Coturnix japonica: one gene and its partner. Each later gene encodes a partner of the first gene's protein in a complex. Links are inferred from orthologs where the notes say so. Each region holds a gene or a part of one and is shown on either strand. Other genes may lie near its edges. The genes, in order: AMFR and UBE2G2.

Region 1 (3,414 bases):
TTCTTTGTGAATACACTTGCTATTCCTTCTTTACTGTTACATTGCTGATCGAGTCAGCTCTCTGGAATCTAGCTAAATCAAGAGCATTAATTATGAGTAATTAACGTTGGTGTCTCTGAGATCCCTTTCACACAGAGTGTGAAGGCACACAGAATAGAGGCACACAGAATACAGGCTCTTTGAACATGGTTTAGATGAGCTCTGTTCTGTATTTCAGCTGGGGTTTTCAAAGCAGCCCAGGGGATGGGCTGCAGCGAGTGAAAGCCTCGTTTCTTTCAGAGCCTCAGAAAGTGGCAGCTCTTTGCAGCTTGTTAGTTTGATGTGAAGAAGCCCTGGTGGCAAATTTTGCACAGACTTGAGATGTTTAACTGAAAAAGAAAACTCCCTCTTTTCCTAACTTCCCCATTTTTTCTCTTAGACCAAAAGAGTGCCACTGGAACTCAACTCAAGACTGGAAGAAATGGGAGAACTGAGCGAAGTGGAGGCAGAACCCAGTGAAGCAGAAGATTTTGAGGCCAGGGGAAGTCGCTTTTCCAAGTCAGCTGATGAGAGGCAGCGCATGTTGGTTCAGCGGAAGGAGGACTTGTTGCAGCAAGCTCGAAAGTATGTTCCTTCCTACAGCTGCAGCCTGGCCACTCGGTTTTAATCTCCCAGAATGGCTGTTACATGGATTATGACTGAAAGACTGGGGTGGTGCAAAGAGTATTAGGAGGGATGAATACATTGCTGCAACACGCTCAGGTGCTCTTTAAGACAGACCTGTGCCTCTGATAAACCCAGTTCTGAAACAGCGTCTTGTGTTGCAGCGTGCACACAGCCTCTCAATTGGTGGATCAGAGCTCATAGGGTGATTTTTCCAGCTTCAGTGAGCTTTAGATTCAGCTTCTAGTAAGTGAGGAAATACTGCTTGTGCTGAGACTCCTAGTACACTTCTAGCCAACCTGCCTGCCTGGGTGTCAGCCTGTGCTGTGTGCTGCTGCAGCTGAGCTCACTGTCGGTCACCACTTTCCAAATACAGAACAAGAGCAGGTATTGAGCTGCGTAGGGCTGACAGACCAGAAGAGCTTCTGATGAGCAGGTCAGCACTGCCAAAGTGAGCGTGGCCAACTCTTACTCCCAGCTCAACTAGTATTGAATGTAGATATGGCACTTTGCAGCCCCAGTGCCCACCTGTCAGCGCCTTCCCTGTCCTCATGGAGGGAGCTGCAGGTTCTGCCTGCACTTCAGCATGGTGCAGTGGTGGGACCCAGTCAGTAACTCACCTCAGGTCTCAGAGTCTGAGTGCATCATTAGTGTGTCCATGCAAAGTATTTTCTAGCTTTGGATGCGCTTCAGCTCCTGCCTTGTTTCCTGAAAGCACCGACTGTTTTCTGGAGCCAAACAGATTGGGCTGCTCTCACTCATCTCCCTTTTCTCCTCTTGCAGGCGTTACTTGAACAAGACCTCAGATGAAGATCTGAGCACAGAGAAGCCCTCAGTGCCCGAGGGAACCTCCGCTGACCCAGTCACGCTGCGCCGCAGGACGCTGGCAGCCGCCGCCGAGCGGAGACTGCAGATGCAGCAGAACTCATAGCGCTCACTGCTCCTCCTTCCTCCTCCTCGTGAGCAATGTTGAATAAAAGAAATGAAACACAAAACCCCTGCATTTCTATACCAGCAGGAAAGTGTCACTTCAGAGTTGAGCGCTGCCGAGTGAGCTGGCTGCCGCTCTGCTGTATAAAGCATGTGGTCTAATCATGTTTGGACAGCTGACAAATTAACCTTTTTTGTAATGTTTTCTATGTGATGTTGATCCCCTCCACAGACAAAAGCAATCTGAACCACCAGTGCGATTTCTCTTTGCACGAGGCGTTGGCCTGACTGCACAACGGAAGCTGAGGGAGATGAGTTGGAATTGAGCAGCTGTGGGTGCAGGTCGGAGGGCATGGCTGCAAGAGGGGAAGGAAGCGCAGGGGTTGGCAGCAAACCCTGTGTTAGAGGAGCAGCTGCTCCCTGCTCACCTCCCGAGTGAAGGAGCTGCGTCGGTTGGCTGCGGTGCTGCTGGGAAGCCCGTTTGTAGGCGGGTGGAAGCTGTCTGGCAACGCAACATAGGAAAAAATGGAGTTGCTAATTGTGCAGTGCTGCTCTGATTCACAGCGATGCATACAGCACTTTGCTCACCGTTGCTGGGCTCTTGGCACTTGGCCTGTAGTTCTGCTCGCTCCCCAGGGCTGCGCTATCTTCCTTTTAGAGCCAGAAAGAAGTGAGAAGCGGGGAGGAGCAGAGTGGAGAATTGGGGGGGGCACAGGGGAGGCTGCAGCCCCCAGAATTCGGTGTTAAAAAGCTGATGGAGTCCCATTGAGGAGCCCACCTGTTTTGGACTGCGGAGCAGCACGGACTTGAAGGCTGGAGCTGGCTCTGATGTCTGATATCACGCTTTCTATGTCATTTTTAACCCCACAGCTCTGCCATTAGACAGAAGCACCGGGAGGGCAGGTGACCCTTGTGCACTGTGCAGCCCCATCTGCTCACCCGGCATCTTTCTAAGGGATTTCTGACCCCACGTACACCCGGAACCAGCACTGCTAAGCTTACAGAGTGGGATTTTACACAGCTGTGACTTGTTTAATTCCTGATGAGTGAATCCTTGTTCCGCCGCCCTTTAGAAGGAGCCCAGTATTATCTAGAATCATTGGTATCTGTTTTTTACTGTCGGTCTTTAGGGAGGTTTGAAGGTGGGTTTAAGGAAAGGCCTCGATGTTTAGGTGAGAGTAATTGATTGCAGTGAACCTTTCTGGGCAGCCTTACCTTGCGATGCTGTGTGTGAACTGCCAGGGGTTTTTCTTTTGAGATGATGGGGTTTGCTCAGAACCCGGCTGTTTGGTTTTACTGTTTAAAGAAATGAAATAAAATCTTGATCAGTGTTGGAAATTGTTTGCTGAGTCCTGTGTGTTCCTGTACGATGAGAATCCAAGTGTGGCGTGAAGGGGGAGATGGAAGAGGAACAATGTGTGGGGGGACTGGAAATAAAATGGGTTTGGGGCTGTTGGAGAGCCGGCTGGGGGGATGAGAGCTGATGGGTGTGGAGCGGGCAGAGCTTGGCTGGGGGGTGCGGAATCAGAATCACAGAGTGGTTTGAGTTGGATGGGACCTTGCAGGGTCTGCTCGCACTCCCTGCACTGAGCAGGGACACCCACAGCTCCAGCAGTGCATCCCCGCGCATCCCCGTCCCGCAGCGCAGCCGTTCCTGTGCCCCGAGCAGCCGCTGGGGGGCGGCCGTGCCCGCAGCTGGGCGCTCCCGCAGAGCCCGGCCGCGGTGATCGCGTGGGCTGAATCCCACCCTGAGCGAATTACGTGGAGGTGATAGAGACAGAAATGAGCCCTTGGGGTCCTCTAACGGGACAGTAATAGGGATGAGATGGAAATTAGGGAATA
Region 2 (2,882 bases), on another chromosome or scaffold:
GTTGTGTTTTTTGGTTTGTTTTTAATAGAACAAACCATCCAAAAGATGGGCAGAGCCTGTTTGGGTGGCCTGCTTTGTGAGGCTTTGTGTTTGTGAAGCCACAGAACCAGAACAAATACGTAGCAGAGAGCACTGTGCAGTTTTACATACGTTTGACAGCACAAACAGGGGAAGTATATACAGGGGAAGTATACCAGAGCCACGGGGAAGTGACAGTGCAGAGACGCTGCTGAAGAAATGAGCCGATGTTGCTCAGTCCCCTGCATGCACACAGACCTTTCCATCTCTTTCGTTTCAGAGCCAAACGATGAAAGCGGAGCCAATGTAGATGCCTCCAAGATGTGGCGAGAAGACAGAGAACAGTTTAACAGAATTGCCAAGCAGATTGTGCAGAAGTCACTTGGACTTTAAGCTCACAAAAAGACTGAAGTGTTTTGTATTTCTCTCCACCTGAAAAAGAGCAGTGCTCAGTGCTGGTACCAAAAAGGAAAACTTTGCTAAACTATCGATCTAGTTCTTATCCTTTGTTATTTATTTACCATCTCTTTTCTGCTTCCGCTGCTGCACAGAAGCCTCTAGTTTACTCACTGAATCGTATGGGGAAGGGATTTATTGCTAGGGAAAATAATGGGAGCAATGCTGTTTCAAAGGCTCTTTGTTGCTACCTCACTTCATGGTATGGAAAGCTTGGAGACTTTGCAATCTGCAGCCTGCTTCTGTCAATCTGCTATTGGAGAACAGCCCTGAGTTAGATCTCCTGCTGGAGGAATTAGATTTACATCGGTATAGGTAGCATTGCATTGGGAACACCAGTAGACAGAAAATAGTTATCAGTCTTATTATACCAGCTAAGTTAAGGACAGTGTTTGCAGTCAGAACCGATCTGAAGACTGGTTAACCAGAGAAAGTTATAAGACAGGGTTTTAGCCAGAATGGTTTAACATAGGAAGTGATTCAGCACCGTGTAACTTGAAGATCCATGTGGTCATTGCTAGCAGCTGGCTGGTACTCCTGCATTACACTGTGAATTTGTACTGAGCCTTTGAGTTAGGGTTTGCTTGGAAGAAAGCCCAAGAACTGCTTTACTGCTCCCTAAAGACATTCAGTGTAAGCTTTACATTCAATTGGAGGTGCAAGATGTAAAGGCTGGGTTCTTAAATACGTGGGTCAGGTTCACTATGAGCCCTAGGTATGTCATCTGCAGCCTGAAAATGCAGTGAGGTTGTTCCTGCTCCATGGGGAATGTAAGATATCTCTGCAGTTACGTCAGCTCTTCTCTCCTGTAGCCATTTGGATGCTCAGAAAATGAAGCATTGCTGGCCTGTACCATCACAGCCCAGGTCACCCAGTTTTCAGATGAAGGAGCCTTTGCCACCAATGGGTTTTGTAATATGGGCTGTAACGCTTCTTTATGCTGAATGCTATAAGTAGGAGTCACTCGGCTGTGTTCTCTGGATGGTAAGATGCTTATTTAAAATGGCAGAGCACTGTAGGCCACTTCTGGTGGCTGGAGATGACAATCTGCAGTGCTTTGTGAAGCTGCTAAGGAGCTGCTGGTGACCTTTGTGCTTTGCAAGTGAGTCTATTGTTTTTCTAGGAGCAGCTTGGGAGTGGAAGGAGCTGTGCTGTGCAGAAAGCTTTACAGAGGAGATTGTGTGCATGTGTGTGTGTTGAACTTGTCAGTATTTCCATCATGCTGCACATGCTGCTTAGTCACAGGCTGCAGATTGGTGGGTGCCACCTTTCTCATCTTTGAATTCGGAGCTTGTATTGCTTGTATTCCCTGTGGAAGTAATTCCTGTCACTTTGGTGGGTGGGTGTGAAGGGGACCCAGCTTAGCATGGGAGCAGAGATGACAAGATAGTATTGTACCTAACTAGTATTTCAAGGCGTACAGGAAAACGTAGCATCTGTATGCAAAATAAGGGTGGTTTGGGGGGTTGTAATATATGAAGCATAGCTCCTGCAATTACCTCAGCTGCTGTTGGAGAGCTGTGTGCACCGCAGAGCAAACACTACGTTCAGCAGACGTGGCAAAGTGGGGCTCTTTTGAAGTGCGGAGTATTTCATTCACGTGTGTTTGCTCATTATTTTATGGTGGGATTTAGTCTGTATTCTGAAAATAAAGTGATTATATATATTTTTTCCTTTCATAAAAGTAATCAAATGTATTTCAGTAAGTGCTTTTAAGGGGGAAACAGCCGGTCAAGAGTCCAGTTTCATTGTGGGCCAACGGAGTGGAAGAGTTTGTGGTGATGCAAGTAAAACACTGGGGATGCTTTAGAGATCTGGAAGACTTGATGCAGTTGTTGGGGCTTTCCAGGCGAGTATCTTGTTGTGATGGCAATCAGTTGATATTTCAAAGAAAACACTAAAAATCTGGCAATCAGCAGATGTGACTCAGTTTGCCTCTAACAAAAGTTTTGTGGTGATCTAAGGCTCTGGGCTTAGGAACGTCTTGTTGTGGCAACAGGTGAATCATGAGCTGCTGTGTATTGTTCCGAGTGCGCCGATACCAGATGGCAGATTGGAGAAGGACAATTAGTTGGAGATTCTCAGGAGGAATTGGACAGTGCCCCCAAATCAGAGCTCAGCACAGCTGGCACTGAGAGTTTCCATGCTCAGGCAGTTCTTTGTGGCTGGGGAACACCCCGGCCTTCCTGCTTGTAAAGCTGCCACTTGGATGCTGCAATAGCCTGCCCTGAAAGCTTAATCCTCTCCTTGAAAGAGTACTCACGCTAACAAGGTGTGTAATGGTAGCCAGTAGCAATAATTTTCTAAGCCGTTGCCTTTTTTCTGCCTGAAACAGTTACTATAAAACACATTCCTTGGGGAGTGTCAGGATGCTACAGGTGTTACGCATGCAAGCAAAGCATTAAAGG

Evidence for each region.
Region 2: the proteins of AMFR (region 1) and UBE2G2 are in contact, whole or in part, in an NMR structure (PDB 2LXP), measured with the Homo sapiens proteins. The link is inferred for Coturnix japonica from reciprocal best matches to the Homo sapiens genes AMFR and UBE2G2. Residues at the interface, in NP_001135.3 of Homo sapiens: Ser574, Ala575, Arg578, Gln579, Met581, Leu582, Arg585, Lys586, Leu589, Leu590, Ala593, Arg594, Arg596, Phe597, Leu598, Lys600; in NP_003334.2 of Homo sapiens: Tyr13, Leu16, Thr17, Pro20, Gly23, Ile24, Val25, Ala26, Gly27, Pro28, Met29, Asn30, Glu31, Glu38, Leu40, Met42, Glu45, Glu50, Phe51, Val53, Val159, Gln160, Leu163, Gly164, Leu165.

The regions. Positions count from the first base shown.
Region 1 is NC_029526.1:500,542-503,955, reverse strand, and holds the end of AMFR (E3 ubiquitin-protein ligase AMFR), read left to right. Parts: intron 1-418; coding exon 419-603; intron 604-1,425; coding exon 1,426-1,573; 3' UTR 1,574-2,913; downstream 2,914-3,414. UniProt on the Homo sapiens protein: E3 ubiquitin-protein ligase that mediates the polyubiquitination of lysine and cysteine residues on target proteins, such as CD3D, CYP3A4, CFTR, INSIG1, SOAT2/ACAT2 and APOB for proteasomal degradation.
Region 2 is NC_029524.1:4,000,142-4,003,023, forward strand, and holds the end of UBE2G2 (ubiquitin-conjugating enzyme E2 G2), read left to right. Parts: intron 1-298; coding exon 299-411; 3' UTR 412-2,162; downstream 2,163-2,882. UniProt on the Homo sapiens protein: Accepts ubiquitin from the E1 complex and catalyzes its covalent attachment to other proteins. In vitro catalyzes 'Lys-48'-linked polyubiquitination. Involved in endoplasmic reticulum-associated degradation (ERAD).